Rhinolophus ferrumequinum: one gene and its partner. The protein of the gene in region 1 interacts with the protein of each later gene in a pairwise test. Links are inferred from orthologs where the notes say so. Each region holds a gene or a part of one and is shown on either strand. Other genes may lie near its edges.

Region 1 (8,104 bases):
TCTCCCATGAAGCCTCTTTGGGAGCAATCCCCAAGGCCAGGGTCATGTCTGTGCCACACCTGGCCCAGTGCAGGGGAGGGGGCCTGAGTGAATGTGGATGGCTGAGAGAGGCAGGTAAACACACCTCTCTGACCCAGTTTATCACCCTCTCACCCCCTCACAGCACAAGGGGGGACATGTGATGGCCTCTCTGAGCACTTGTGCTCTCACGGGGAGCTCCAGGAGGACAGGTACCATATCCATCTCTCGGAACTGTACACCAGGCCCTAGTTCCTGCCCTCCAAGCAGTGACCGCTCAGCCATCGTTGTGGACTCAGAGCCCCCAGGAGTGCTCAGTGCCAGGGCTGAGTCCCTGTGTGAGAGCAGGAGGGCCTGGCCAGAGTCCCAGCGTGACTGCCATGTTGGCTGCCTGCCTGCCTGCCAGGGCATGCACACACGCCACCCAGCTGACCAGCCGCGGGAGCTGACCAGGGCACACAGTCGCTATTATCCGTGCAGCCCACCGCGTGCTCGTGCTGGACGTGCGTGAGCTGATGGCTGAGCGGCAGTGCCCAGGCTGAATCCTGTGCTGGTTCCTGACTCCCACAGCAGGTGGTACTCACGGTTGGTCTGAGAGCGTGTCAGAGGTGGCCCTGGCCACATACGCGATGGGCACGAGCCCCATGCTGGGCTGGCCGGAAAGCCTGCGGGCAAAGATGTAGTCACCCTCCTCCTTGAGGGCATAGAGCCTGTCCCCGCGGGTGACGCTCAGCTCGTCTGTGCACCGCGCAGTGAAGTCGTAGAGCGCCCTGAAGAGCTGCCCAGGCACCGCCGGGGGTGTGCAGGGCTCGGCAGCGGGGGCCTCCAGCTCAGCGTTGGTGTCAGAGTCTGGGAAGCCAGAGACGCTGTCATCCGGCGTGCCTGCGGGCCAGATCTTGTCCCAGAAGAAGGACAAGAAGGACAACCGCTTCCTGAGGAAGGGCTCCATGCTCCCGGGGCGTCCGGAGCCCGGTCACCACACTGCGCCCAGGGCCCTGCAGGGGAGGGGACTTCTGACGAGGGAGAAACTGGAAGGGCCGGTGGGACGGCAAGTGTCAGAGCTTCGCTGAGTGTCAGAGTCCATCACTGCTGGCAAGGGGTGTGGGTGACAGGTACTCCAGAGGGCCCCCTGCTCACTTCTGGGCTGTTCAGACCGGGTTGGGACACAGGGTGGCCCTCCAGCCCCCAGCCACATGTCAGCCGCTGCTCTCCTTGACCTCTAGGGTGTCTTGTGGGCAGGACTTGTCCTGGGCTGCTCAGAGGCACTTGGGGCTGGGGCAGGAGTGGCCCTGGGGCAGCCTGGGGGTGGGGTCTTGGGCGGCTGGGAACGTGGGACAGCCCCCTGCCTCCCCAACATGTACCCCTTCCTCAGGCCTAGGAAGGAGGGGGTGGCTGTCCTGCCAGGCGGCCAGTGTGACAAGGGGAGAAGGGTCATGCACAAGCGCACGCCATGCTAGCCCGTGACCTGAGTCCTGCCCTCAGAGGAGGGGTTCTATGAAGGGGCAGCACCAGCCAGTAGCTGCCTAGCCGTGCACTGGACTTGTGTGGACAGTTACCTGGTTCTTCCAACGTGGGCCAAGTCTTTAACATCATAAACACCCCCGTGCAGGACAGCTGGAGTTTCTTATGGGGTGGGGCTCAGTCAGCACAGAGCGGTGAGGGAGGAGGGGGTAAGTTCAGGGCCACCCTGGGGAGGAGGCTCTGACCTCTGACCGCCCTCAGAGAGATGCGCTGGGTGATGTGGGGGTGGCGGGTGAGTCCACGGAGGGCCTGTACCCACCACTTGCTCCTCTCCCCGGACCGCACCAGGCCCCCTGCACACTGAAGCAAGCTGCCCACTGCCCAGGTCAGCCTGTGCCGCTGGGCAGGGCGGGAGAGCAAACCCAGGCCGCCTGGTCCTGGTTCCGGATCCAGGAGGGGTTCAGGGCGGGTGTCTGGGTGTGTGGGCGGTTCCCAGCCCCAGGTAGCTTGCTCCTCCTCCCCCCACAGCAGCCCCTTCAGCACCGGCGTCATTATTGAGCCCACATCCCTCTTCTGACGACTGCAGACCCTCCTTCCACACCCCACACTCAATCAACGCCCAAACGTTGTCACGTTCTGTGAACGGGCCCGACAGAAGTGACAAGTGTCTATCCACCTGCCCCCGAGAGGCAGCAGACCCTGGTGTCTGGAATGCACCCTGGGGGCCTCCCTGCCACCGTTGGGGGAGCAGCTTGTACAATTTGCAAACTGTGACGTGGCAGCGACAGCCACCCACCATGGGCTGAAGGGGGCAGGGGTCCGAGGGGCAGGCTCCATGCAGCTGAGACTCATCCTGTTGCAGAGGATCAGGGAGCGGGGTCGGGAACAAACATTTACAAACACAGAATTAGGGGAGGCCTGGCAGGGCCTGCAGTGCCCGCCTATCACCTGCCTCCACCCCCCACCTCCCCGTATGAGCAATTTGGGTTTTTACAGATTGCTTTCCTTAAATCCCAGACGTACCTGACTCCTCCTAGGAAGCCCCTGACCCACCGGCCAAAGGGAGGGCCCCACTTATGCTGGCCGCGCTCGAGGTCAGCATTCAGATCCTGGAGATGCCCTGTCCCTCAGAGCCAAGGGGTCTGGCCTCTGGGACTGAGGACATTGCTCTGATGGTCAGAGCAGGCAGGGAGAGTCCTCCTCGGTCTTCTGGCGGGGCCCCCTTAGCCTCACCTCCTCCATGGGCCCTAACCAAACCCAGGGCTGGGAGCTAGCTATGTGAGGGGGAGGGCCCCCGGACAGCTCTGGATGTGGTCGGATGACCAGGTTCGAATCCTGCTGTCAGACTCACTAGCCGCATGGCAAGGTGCTGAGCGCTCTGTGCCTCGATTTCCCCATCTGTGAGAGCACTGAGCTCATAGCCATAGTGAGGACTCAGACCAGGTCTGCAGGGTGAGGAGCGGCCATCCCGGGCATTCAGGCTGAGGTTGGCAGTGTCCCCACACCATGGCTTCATGTGTGTTCTGTGGAGGGCACACGATCGGGTCTCTGGGGTCCAGGTGCACCCCTTGCCCCCAGGGCTATGACCTCACGACCACCAGGCTCACCACCCTCAGGGCGCCGGGTCTGCCAAGGGCAGCAGAGCCCAGTGGCTGCAGACAATGGGCGAGACAAAATCAGCTGGCCCATGCCTGGGAGGAAGGGCCCACTAAGAATGCACGTGGCCGGCCCTCGGGAACTATGCTGAGCAGAGAGGCTGGTCCTGGGGGCTTCACGCTGCACGATGCTACGAAGGCTCTCCAAAGGACACAATTGCAGAGATGGACCAGACGAGCGCTGGCCAGGGGCGGAGGAGCCCCAGGGTTGGGGAGAAAGTAGGCGCGGCTACAAAAGGCCAAGTGGGGGCCCTGTGGGGACAGGGCCGTCTGCCTGTGGACTGTCAGTATCACTACCCTGGTGGGATCCTGCTTGGCAGTTCTGAAGAAATAGGCAACGGGTTCACGGGGGGCCCTGTGTGACGTCTCACAACTGCGTGCCATCTACGATTACCTCAAAATTCAGAGTTTAATTTAAAAAAATTAGCGGATGAACAAGAGAGGAAAAGGGCGTGGGGCCAAAGAGATGTCAGAGGTTCAGGACACGCCTGGCGCCGAGAGGAAGTGAGAGCTGCTGTGGGTGGAGGGGCTGCAGTCATCTTCCTCCCTCTGCTTTGCATTTTCCCCCTTTCAGGTGCCAGACTCCCCCACTCAACCTTCAGACAGCCCCCCCCTTCCAAACAAGCCAACCCTGCCCCTCAGGGCCCCAATGGCGGCAGCAGCTCTCGTTTGCTAAGTTAGGGCCCAGGGCGGGGCGAGGAGGGCAGACACAGCCCCACTGGCTCCCTCCCCAGGCCCGACCTGATGGGTGCCTGGCCAGGGGACGATTCCTCCCAGGATGGGGTCCCCTGGTGGGTGGGGGTGCACTGGGGGCAGCTCTGGCCACAGAAGAGTTTGTGAAGAGAGCTCAGGGACAGACGCCCATCCTGGAGAGGCCACCACTCACCTCCGAAGGGGAGGAGACGGGTGACCAGGGTCAGCCCTGCCACCTCAGTCCTCCCCCGGAGGGCCAGGAGTGCCTGGGGTGTTAGGCTGCCCACGGCCGGTGGCAGACCCTGGCTGGCCCGCAAGGTCCCAGAGGTCCAGAGCCCAGTTGGAAGTGACAAGTGGGGCTCCAGAGGCGGAGAACACCTCTGAGGAGTTCCCTGGAGCTGTGGACACCCCGTTTGTCCAGAGCCGCGTCAGGGGCACTGGCGTGGGCAGGCCGAGGAGAGGAAGGGTGCTCTGGCAGAGGCAGGGCTCCTGATCCTGCTGTCAGTTCACATGGTCACAGTCTCTGGCAGCTCCACCCAGGGGTTCTGGGCAGCGCTGGGCCGGAGGTAGAGCAGGGGCGTCGGCCCCCACCCGAAAGCCTGGCAGAAGGGCTCCGGGCTGGGTCCCCAGCGCAGAGGGGTGGCCGGCCTCAGTTTGCTCCTGTCGGTGGAACCCTACTGCAAACCTGGCTTTCAGACCATGGCGGTGGCTCCCAGGTCGGGCCTCTGGTTGCGACGTCCGGAGTCCCCAGAAAAGGGAGCAGAGTCTATGGACAGTCCCCTCCAAGCTGAGACTCGGTTGAGAGGAGCGGTTCCTTTCGTGGAGGTTCTGGGACCAGAAAGCCCGGCCATGGCCGTCTTTTCGCAGCCCCTCAAGTCTTGGGACCCGACAGGGCGGGTCTTCCCCCCACCCCCGATGCCCTGGGCTTCCTCCCACCTCCTGTCCCCCCAACCCCTCACCCCCACCCTCTGCCCCATCCCCTTTCCGGACCCTCTACGGCGTCACAAAGGCCCGCGGTCCCTATGGCAACCCGCCGGACAGCGCAGTGCGCAGCTGGGCTCCCCGGCTCTGCGCACAGTCAAGCCGCAGGCTCTGCCCGCTCCGGAGGCAGGGCAAGTGGGTGCGCTGGAAGGTGGGGTACGGGCCTGCGGAGGCTGAGGGAAGTGGGGAGGCGGACAGGGGGTGGGGGAGGTGGGAGTCGGTCTCGGGGAGGTGGGCGTGGCGGGTGGGGGGGCGAGGGGTGTGCAGGGGCGTCAGGAAGGCGGGGCCTCTGGGGGGCGGGCCAGGGCGCAGGGTGGTGTCTTCCCATTTTCCACCTGGGAGACTGTTAGCGACTGGAAACATTCTGACCTTAGCCAGATCCAGGAGCAAGAGTTCCTTCCAGAGGCCAGAGCTGGACTTAGGCCGCGAGTCCTGGGGTCCTGGTCTCGCCTGACTCCCCACCCCAGATACCCTCTCTGCTGTGCCCAGGGCCTGGTCTGGCTACCCTTCCCCAGGAAGGTCAAAGGCTGGTCTTTAGGGAGGGAGGCAGACTCCCCGACCTTACTCTGCCACTTGGCGGTGCCTTCTTGGGCACGGCACCCGACCTACGGGCTGTCTCTGTAATCCATCCAAGCCTTGGCTTGCTGGGACAACCTGAGCTCTCCCAAGTGAAGCCGCTGGTCCCTGGGCATGGCGGGGACCTGGGAGAGGAGCCAGGGATGCTGGCTTCTTGTTCAAGGAGCCCCAGCTTGCAGGGCCAGTCCTTGTGGACTGGCAGCTTGCCCCAGCTGGGCCTAGGACCACAGCTGCATCCAGCTGTGACGTGCCCTGAGGTGCACTGGCCCCTCCCACTGACACCCAGAGCTGGGAACCTGGGGGGCAGGGAGGCATGGCCCAGAAGGAGGTTCAGGCTCTGGGGTCAATGGCAGGGCTCAATGCCTGGACTGAGGACAAACTCGAAGCATTTTAGCCTCGTGCCCCATCTGTGAGACGGAGTGACAGGATCTTACAACCTCATGGCCTTTTCCTGTGGAGTCAGTGAGCTCCTGAGGGCACGCGAGGCCCCAGGACGTAGCAGGGGCTGGGTAACTAGGAGCTGGCATCGTGAAGATCCTGAGAGCTGAGGCCTGGGGCCAGCCTGCCGCCCATGCCGGTCCTGGTCACCACGGGACTGCCTGCGGGAAAGCCTGGCTCTGCTCTGTACCTGCGGTGAGGTCTGGAGGGTCTGCAGGCAGTGGTGTCCCCGGGATGAGGGGGTGCCTGGTGCTGCTCAGACAGATCACACTGCTCTCGGGAGCCTGAGCAGCACCATGACCCCATTTCAGATGAGGCACTGAGACCTTTGCCAGGCCACACAGCTGCTCGGCAGCTGCCTGTGTGCCCAAGTCACTGTGGCCTCAGGACTCAGGGCCTCAGCCTTGCCCTGTGTCCTTACAAACAGCCGTCAGTAGTGTTTGCCCCTCCATGCCTACTGTCTCCCAGACTAGCAGACCGCCCTGTCGGCCCTGCAGGCAGCCTGTTCCGGAGAGAGGTGTCCCCATAAGCTCCTCCCCCTGAGAGGGACAGAGGGCCTGGTGTAGGGGGCACACACAAACACTGCCCCGGGGGAGCCGCAAGGGGCAGCAGAGGACAGCCTGCTGGTCCCAGCTGACACCCCACCCTCCACTCCACCCTCCCAGACGATGGATTTCCAGGTGACAGGCCTGGACCTGGACAAGAGGCAGCCGGACAGTCCCCAGCGCTTCCTGGACCAGGAGGAGGCCGAGGAGGCCGAGGACGGGCAGCTGCTGGAGCCGCAGGCATGGAGGACCTACATGGAGCACCGCACGGCGCTGCGGGAGTTCCTGACCTCCCAGCTGAGCCCCCAGCTGCTCAGGCGCCACCATGCCCGCGTGGAGCTGCTCCGAAGGTGCTCCTACCACATTGAGATCCTGCCGAAGCACCTGGCCCTGGGCGACCAGAACCCACCACTGCTGCCCCACACCATCTTCCAGCTGGTCGACCCCTGCAAGTTCCAGCGCATGAAGAAAGTGGGCGCCGCTCAGGCCAGGATTCAGCTGCTGCTGCTCGGAGACCTGCTGGAGCAGCTGGACCGCGGCCGCGCCGCGCTGGATGCCCTGCTCGAGTCGCCTGACCCACGGCCCTTCCTGGCGGGTTGGGCGCTCGTGGAGCAGCGGCTGGCGGGCCTGTCAGCCGTGATGGATAACTTCTTGGCAATGATGGTGCCTGGGCGCCTGCACATCAAACACCGCCTGGTGTCTGATGTCAGTGCCACCAAGCTCCCCCACATCCGGCTTCTGCTGAGCACCAAAATGCCCGTCATGTTCGACCGCAAGGAGTCGGTGGCCCACCAAGACTGGGCCACCCTGCGCTGGTTTGTCACCATCCAGCCGGCGGCCCCAGAGCAGTTTGAACTGCGATTCAAGCTGCTGGACCCACGGACACAGCAGGAGTGCCTGCAGCGTGGCATCGTCCCTGTGGCCACCTGCACCTTCGAGATCCATCACCTGCTTCCCGACCGCGTCTACAAGTTCACGGTCAAGAGAGCTGAGAGCTACACGCTGGTGTATGAGCCCTGGGAGGACAGCCTCACTCTGCACACCAGGCCGGGGACCCCCGAAGGGCTGGCCCCCAGTCTGCTGGGCAAGCCGGGCCACCCCTGACCACAGCTTCCCAGAGATGATTTTCTAATATTTATCCATTAATAAAGAGCAATATAAACACACAATTATAGAAACAAAAGTTCTAAAGGTGGAAGCAGCCACATGACTGCTTTCTGATTTGGTGCAGCCCGCCCACAAGACCCAGGACCCCGTCAGCCCCTGGTCCCTTTTCCAGGGGAGACCCAAGCTGGACCTTCCAGAACAGCTGACCCCTGGAGCAGGCCAGGGGCCAGGGATTCGGGTTTGTGCTGGGTCATACGGGTCCAAGCCAGAGGTCAGGCTGGAATGGGAGTTCGCCAGGGAGGTGCATCCAGGCACACCAGCAGGGCCTTCCTCGTCTTAGTGCCTCCGGTCTGCGGCCCAGTTTCACACCCTCACCCAGAACGGCAGCTGCCCAGAGGCCACCGTGGGGCCACGCAGGTCCCCTTCTAGGAGCAGCTCCGAGGCCCGCTTCCTGATTTGGCCTAGGCTGAGCACTGGGCTGTACCCGCCCCACCCCAGCTCACCTGCCTCACTGTCCTGAGACTCACCTGCCGCTCCAGCGGCCGCCTCTGTGCTCAGCTGCCCTCCTTCAGTCCAGCCCTGCTTCCTACCACCCCATGTGCCTTCTGGGCTTCAACACCCCTTCCTCCA
Region 2 (8,290 bases), on another chromosome or scaffold:
TCAATTGTTGCAGATTTTTGGGCAAGTAAGTTTTAAACATTAAATTATTCTAAAATACTATATTTCAATAGAACAGCAGTGTATAAAACAAAATAACCCTGATTTGATAAATATTAAAGTTATTCTTTAGGCATTGTCTATTTCTATATAAATATACACTTAAAAATAACAATAATGATGCTAGATATTGTTTTACCACATTCTTTTGTCTCTTAAAAAACATATTGAACATCTTCGCATGTTAGTATGTATTTGTCTACTTTATTCTTTTCAACAGCTGCATAGTACTCTATTCCTTTTTTTTCTTTGTTGGTTTCAGGGTGGCTATTACTTTTTAAAGTACATATCTTTAGGTTTTCTGCTTTTCACTTTTACAAATAAGTTGGAAATGAATACAGCATTGTATATGTGGGCTAACATTATTTTGGAGCAAGTTATGTAATCTCTTTGTGGCTAATATCTATAAAACCTTGAGAGACTTATCAAACTATTTTATTTCATTAAAAATTCTTGCGTATGAGTTTGGCTAAAAAAATGTCCTCTTCTTTCAAACTACCAAAATGTTATGCTCATTAATAAAAGAATCTATTATACGATAAATCCTTGTTTTAGATTTCACTAAATGAATTAAAACGAATTAAGGGAAAACATGTTACTGGTTGGAGACAGGTTCTTGTATTTAATTAGAAAAGTAACATAGGCCCTTAACAGGTACAAAGAACAAAGATCCTCTATTATTCTGCCGCCTAGAAATAAGCATTGGTAACATTTGTACCTATTCAGACTTCCTTTTGATATATACTTTTTTATTTGACAAAAATAGGACATTATATAGACAGTTTTGTAACCTACCTCTTATTTTTTTCTTCTAGCTTTTTTTTTCTCTTATTTTTCTTACCGGTGTTCTGTGAACATCTTTTCATGTGACTTTTTTTTTCTTACAAAAAAGTACATCATCATTTTTAATGGCTTCATAGTCTATCTATAGATGTACCATAATTTATTTATTTACCCAGTGCCTTTATTTATAGGCATTTGGATTGTTTCCAATTTTTTGTAGTTATAAGCAATTTATCAGTGAGTATCTTTATAAATTGTTGGACATCTTTCCTATTATTTTATTAAAATAAATTCTAAGATATAGAATAGCTGGGCAAAGGGGATCTTATTTTAATGACTTTTGTTTTAAATGAAAGCCACACTGTTCCAGAAAAGCTATACAGATTTCGATTCTTGATATGAATAATGCAAATGCCTATTCCTTATACCTTCATCTAGGTTTTATTCTTTTTAAGTCTTTGCCAATTGGCTAGGTTAAAAGGTGGTATATCGTTAGTTTTATTTTAATTTTTTTCTGATTTCGAGTAAGGTAGAGCATCTTTTCGTATAATTATTGACAAATACATGACTAGCTTGTTCATGTCCCGTTACTTTTTAAAAGTTGATTTTTTCTTAATGATTTATAAGAGCTCTTGATATACTTATCATGTAAATCAAACATTAGATATTAAGAATAGTAACCAAGTATATCTAATTAAATATTAAAATGTCATACATGTTACAATTGTTTCTCCATTTCACTGCTGTATTTGTTTTTTAACTTTGTTTTTTGCCATAGGAAGAGCACAATTTGTATGTGTTCAAATTATCAATATTTTCCTTTGTTTCTTTAATTAATATCTTGCTTAGAAATAGAAGCAGAAGTAGGTCCTGTCCCAATACTTAAGTTACTTCTACAGAAGCAATGTGGTGCGGTTGAAAGTAAGCGGATTAAGACCCAAATATACTTGAGTTTGTCTGGTACAGGAAAATTGTGGCACCCAACTTGCATGTTAGGTAACCACCTCAAGGACATTACTCGACTTGACCAATTTCCTCATCTGCAAAATGAGGAAAATAACACCCATTTAAGAGATTGATTTAGGATTAAAGAAGTGTCTGGCAAGGACAAGGCATTCAGCAAGTGTTACTTCTCTTTCCTTCGCACTCAGCGAAAGTGTCCACCTCCCATGACGACTAAAATAAGATTGGGAGGTGTAATTTTTGGTGAGTGTATGTAAATTCAACCATTCTTTCCAAGAGGTTTTAGTAATCCATTAAACTGCAAACCCCATAATGCATGTAAAAGGATCATAAAGTTTCTGTGTATGAAACCTTTGTGGCTTGGGGAAGAGCAAAGAGCCAAGTACTTTTTATTTTCTGCATTTTCCCTCAAGAAACCCTCCCCCCTCACATTCCCTCTCAGCACATATACGTAGCTACTTTTCTTCCTCTTGTAAGGCTAACTTCACAGGTTTTAAAGGGAGACTTCAGTTATAACGCGAAAGGTATCGCAATCAGAGAACTGTAAGTACAAAATTCATTTTAAAAATCGCCCGGGCTGTGTGAGACTGAGACACTGTTGAAATAATTGTCAGCTACTGTAGATTTAATACAAATAAAAAATGATAATTAGCACCATTATATCCAGCAGCCATATTTATCCTTTGAGAATCTGGGCTTAGCTCCCAACGAGCGAGTCTCGATCCCTCAGCTACTGGCCTCCCGTATATATGATTTATGTCCGACACGCTCTCGTATTTGCATACGACGGTGGATCCATTGCTTCAGGCACCCAATTAGCCCGGCGCCAGCACGGCTAGCGCTCCGCCCGCCCAGGGCTGTGTAGAGGCGAGCATGTGATCTCTCATCCGCCCAGGCCCGAGCGCCGTACCTGGCGAGCGGCGCGCGCCGCGGCATCTCGGAGTCAGGGTAGACGCCGCGGCGCGCGCCACTGAGGCCCGCGCGGCTGCCTCCTGGAGCAGCCCTCCCCTCCCGCCCTTCGGGCAACCCCACCATCTCAGGCTGCGGGGCGGCCCGGGGCTGGGGGAGAAGGGAGGGAGGAGGGGCTCCTGTGGGAGCGGCGGGGAATTCCCCCTTCCACCGACCTTTCCCGATTGTTCACCATCCTCACGTCAGCAGCAGGGGGTAATCCCCGACTCCAGCTGCTCCTGACGTCACCGCGCGGAGCCACCGCCCCCCGCGCGCCCTGGCCTCCAGTGCCTCCTCGGAGCCCCGCCTCCATACATAACCCCGCCCTCATTCCCTCCCGCCAGCCGCCCCTACGTAGAGGGTGGAGCTTCTTTGGCCGGGGCGTGAGCGGTTGCCTGGGCCAGAAGGTTCTCTGGTGGAGGCGCTCCTCCTTGCTGCCCCGCCCAGTAGGTTTGTTCGCACCGCTTCTACTAGCACACACCCTTTCTTCCCTCCTTCTTTTCGTCGCCCCCGCCTTTCCTCCCCCTTCTCCTCAACCTCTTTAGTTCCTTCCCCGCTTCGCCATCCACCATCTCGCGAGACTTGGCCCAGAACATTGCGGATCGGGTCGGCGCCATTTTGGGACTGAGACTGGTTGTGGGGGAGGGAAAAGCGGCAAAGGGGGATTATTCAAAGTACCGAAAACCTCCTCTCGGGATCGAGCGCAGCGGCACCCCCAGGCCAGGGGCACTTCTGGTGTGGCAGAAGGTAACATCGTCCTCTGTGCTTCGCGCCGGAGTCTGGGGGAGGAGGGAGGGTGCCCGTGTCGGCGTTGGGGTTTGAGGGGTCTAGAGCGGCGTTGGCGGCGCGAGGTATGGGCTGCCCGCGGATCTGGGGGAGGGAGCGGAGAGCAAGGAGACAGAGGGAAGGACGGCACCGGGAGGCCCCTTTAGGTGTTGCCTCGTTCCGGGGGAGCGGAGGTGGCGGTTGTGGGGAGGAGGTGGGTGGCTTAGCCTTGGCGGCTGGGGGGTGTTTGGCGGAGGCTGGGACGGGTCCGACGCCCTCCGTGTTCGGTCTTCCTCCTACCTCGCGCGCACGCCCCGCCTCCTCTGGCACCACTACCCCTCTCCGAGGGCTGAGGGAATCGAGGCCGAGTTGTGGCCTTGGGTTGTTTCTTCAGTAGCGCGCCCGCTCTCCCCGCCTCTCCCAGGTCCGTGGCACTAGCTGTTTTGAATCGAGTGCTGCTGCCTTGCCCCTCCGAGCCCTGTGGGGTCTTGAGGGGACCTGCTCTGTTTTCGGAGAGAGCCACTCTTAACGTGGTTTACGAGAAAGCTCGGTACCTTCCACCCCCTCAGTGTTGGGAGAAACCTGTTTTCTTAATTGAAAGAAATGGGAGCCGACACCTTTATCCTGCTGCACTCGGAAGCTGGGGAAATCTTACCCTCAGGCAAATTTAAGGAATGTCCCTGCCCCACTTCTCATCCACCTACTTCTGCCCTTCGTGTGGGAAAATGTGCCTCTTTTAGACATCCTAATTTGGAGGGAGCGTCTTACTCTTTATATTCCTCATTCTCTTAAGTTTCATCAGCTAATGTTTGGTGGCACCACACCTGTCTTCATTTTCCTTGGTACATTGAATAGAGACCTTTCATAAGGTTGTGTGCCAGTTTCATAGTTATAATATCTACTCAAAAAGTATAACAAGGTTTGAATGTTTGCTTATATAATCCCCTGTATTTTATCCGCACCCTTTCCCAGTTGAAATTAATACTTGCCTCCCATAACATCCCTCCTCCACCCCCATTCTGAAGTCCTTTTCTTACAGTAGACTTTTTTGGGTCCTGCTTGGGCGTAGCTTTTTTTCAGACCCAAGTAGTAGTATACAGAAGTGAATTTCTCTCCAGAGGTTGACTTTTTAAGATGGGGGTTAATTTTTAGTTCAAAGTTAAAACTCAGTGTGTAATTTGTTTTTGTTTTTTGTTTTTTATAACTTTTACAGGTGATCGAATTACTCAGATATGAAGATCATCTAGGTTTTGTGTAAAAGGCCCGGATATTCAAGTGGCCATTTGGAATTACAATGTTTTGGATAATTTTGCCCCAGAAGTTTATTAAAATTGTCAAGAATCATCTCTGAAGTGAATTCATAGTAGTGACAGTTCTAACAAGCTACTTAAAAAGAAACATAGTCATTTTTAGTATTTTGGTTCAACGGATGATATACCTGGTTTAAAGTGTTCAGCTGGTGGTATTTTTGCCTTTCCCCAACTCCTCCCTCTTGTTAGTGTTCTTCAGCCAAAACTGTAAGATATGTTTGATTTGTGTACTGAGTAGTTTCAGCAGTTTCAAATTACTGTTTAAATATTGCTGAAGTTTCATGGCAATTATTTTTACCTTTATTAAAAGTTTTAGGAATTTTTGACCTCAGCCCTATTCATGTCACAGTGGGGGCAGCTTTTCTAAATGAAGACATTGAAAGAATACAGAGTTTTTTTCCTTTTATCTTTTATTTACGTGGAAATTTAAGATGTTGCAGTTTCCCAGCAGCATGGTAGTATTGAGATAGCTATGTGTCTCGGTATATGCTGATGCTTAGGAATGCTCTTCAGATGTGAAATTTTCTTTTTGTCTTTGCTTTTTGGCTCATAAATTGGATATTTCATCTGGAGTGGATAAGTACAACAGTGACAAGTTCATGAATAATAAAGACGTGATAATCTTAAATCTAAGGAACTTGGCTAATTCTGGAGATAGCCATATGAAACTTTAAACAGAAGTATGGGTAGCTGACTTGAAGTAACTCTATGTCAAATAGTCATAGCTTGAGTATCTTCGAAGAACTTGGATTTTATTTCAGAGGGATACAAAATAAAAAAACAACTGGAAAACATAAAGATAACAGAGAAAAACTCAACACCTTCCTGTGCAGTCCTATTGGAATTTGTAAGTACTATATGGTGAGCAAATCAAATGATCATTTGTAAATGTAATGAGTCAAGTTTATCCTATGTTATTCTTGGAAGCCTTTCAGTTTCTTGCAATAATATTGCTTGGCTTCAGATTCCTGGACAGTCTGAAAACAAGTAAATTTAAATGCAGAAAGTTAAAATTTAAGAACATTGCAGATCAAACAGTTCAAATTTTAAGTTGTTGTGCTCCTAAAGTAAAAAAGTCTATATGGTTCATTATTCATCTTAGGCTTTATGGATTCTTAGATTGGTAGGAAAAACCCAACAAATTATTTAATGTTTGAAACAAATTATAGTGCTTGGTTTTTAATCTGATAATTTCATGAAAGTGGCCGTGTTTTAAGGCATAACTGTTGCTAACATTTTTAATCCATCACAGAAATTAAATTTTTGAAACAATTTGTAGAAGTGGTTTATATTTCAAATTATCCTTAAGATCTCAATTCCAAAAAGCCAAGTCATTACTAGGAACAGAAACAGAGGAACTGAGCAAGATGCATTAACAAGTTTTAGACTAACTTAAAAAATGAGGGTACTTTTTCTCCTAAGAAGTTATGCTGCCTTAAGTTTATAAACAAGCTTTTAAAATAGTGAAATTAATTGCTATATAGAAATCCTTTTGGCAAATGAATTATCTTTTAATAATAATTGTATTTTTCTGGATTGAATGGTATTTTTAATTGCCATTAGTTACTACATTTAGTTTTTCAGTGAATCACAGGCATTCAGTAAAATGTTTTAAAAAAAATTCACTAAAACTTATTTTTAAGGACTTACTGTTGGTAAGAATACATCAACATGGCTAAAATTAGAGTTTATTTAATTACCTGAGATAAAACATAACTTTCGAAACACTTTGCCAAGATGACCTGATAACTTGTCAGTCGTCATTATTTTGAAACAGCCTTTTTTTTGCTATACTGTAGAATCCTCTTTCACTTACTTAGAGCGGAGAAGGTAGTAGAATCCAAAAGAATGTAGTTATTTCGATATGTGTATATAACATTTTTCTGATCTAAAACTGAGATTAGAATGTTCAGTAATTCTGTTAAAATGGTGAGTTGTGTTTTTCTGTCAGAACCTGTGTGTAGTACTTTTAAATTGAGTTTCCACCTTGATTTATATAAAAAATGTGAGGACATTCTCCTCTGCCCCTTGCTTCGGGAGTCTGTATATTACATATTTCTCAATGGCTTTTAAAGTTATTTATCTAAGAATATGCATTTTAAATGTGATAAGAAGTTGAAATGGGAAATGAGTGTCTTTATAGAAAAGAACCACGTAATATTTATTATTTTTGGTTATTTTTCTTTAAATTGCTCGTGTTGATGTTATTACCACAAGCGGTAGTATCAAGATAAAGATGACTCCAGAGACCAGTTTTTAAACAATTAACTTTAATCCTTGAATAGAATATTTGTGAACTTTGCTTACTGCAATTGTTCAAGGACAGATTTACTTGAATGTTCTGATATATATTATTTTCTTGGCTTTGAAATATATAGTACCAGTAGTAATTGGAACAATTGCTGGGCTGCTGCTTTCTCCCCTATAAGTACCTCTCTATTTTTCCTCTTTATCTCCCCTTCTCCCATATTTTTCTCCTGTCCGTAAAACTATAGGTCTAAAAATAATAATCATAATGACTCCATTTATGTGATGATTGTGTCATGTATTTTAATGTGTACTTTACTTGGTATATTTTAAACTTACAATAATCATACGAGGGAAGTACTATTACAGTTACAGTGATATAGGTGAGGAAATTAAGATTTAGCGGAGATTAAGATTGGGAGAAAGTTAATTTTGTTAGGATTAAGGTTAGGTTGGAATCTTGACCAAATCGTCAAGCCCCATACTCTTAATCACTATATCGTGCACTGCTTTGTGGATTTTACTTTATTAACTCATTTTATTTGAACATTATCTCTGATATTTGTGTTTTTTTCATATACGGTTTCTCTTTGGTTAATACTGATTACTAGTGGAACTTGGAGACAAGCTGAAGGATAGAAACTTGTTGGTTTTGCTGTTTGTTAGTAACTATTTGCGTGATATTTGGTTAGGTAAAAATTAAAATGTGTCAGGTTATATATTCAGATCCCATTCACCCAGCACCTCTTCACACAGGTATGAAGCATGTTAGCTTTGTTTTACTTTTTCTGTTTTTGAACTGAAATTAATACACACGAATTTTTGTGCTTAAAGCTGCTGATACTTCAGGAATTGTGGAAGGGGGCATAATCGGGAAATAATAGTAATGGGAAATAATAGGGAAAGAATATGAGTGAACAGAAAGAAAATAAAATTTATAGAGTTACAGAAGGGAATACGGATGGGAGCGCCTAGTCTGAAAGTAAAATTAGCAAATGAGGATAGAACCTAAACCCAGGCCAGATTATTATCTAATTGTGTTTGATCCAACCACCTTTTCTGTTTAATTTTGAATAAAAATGTTTAGGTAAGGGTAGTGATGTAGAAAACAGGTAATGGCTGGGAGTTAGAAAGATTTTTGGTTTAATATTTGGAATATCTAGAAAAGGGCCTAACTTGTTTTGGCCTTAGTTCCTCATAAAAATGATGGAAGTAAT

Evidence for each region. The genes of interacting proteins can lie anywhere in the genome.
Region 2: the proteins of FNDC11 (region 1) and GPBP1 interact in binary tests that used the Homo sapiens proteins (3 or more experiments, as listed by UniProt). The link is inferred for Rhinolophus ferrumequinum from reciprocal best matches to the Homo sapiens genes FNDC11 and GPBP1.

The regions. Positions count from the first base shown.
Region 1 is NC_046306.1:485,246-493,349, reverse strand, and holds FNDC11 (fibronectin type III domain-containing protein 11), read left to right. Parts: upstream 1-4,898; 5' UTR 4,899-4,959; intron 4,960-6,487; 5' UTR 6,488-6,490; coding exon 6,491-7,471; 3' UTR 7,472-7,687; downstream 7,688-8,104. Other genes in the region: tyrosine-protein kinase Srms, read right to left, coding at 603-967.
Region 2 is NC_046290.1:35,786,860-35,795,149, forward strand, and holds the start of GPBP1 (vasculin), read left to right. Parts: upstream 1-5,026; 5' UTR 5,027-5,687; intron 5,688-8,290. UniProt on the Homo sapiens protein: Functions as a GC-rich promoter-specific transactivating transcription factor.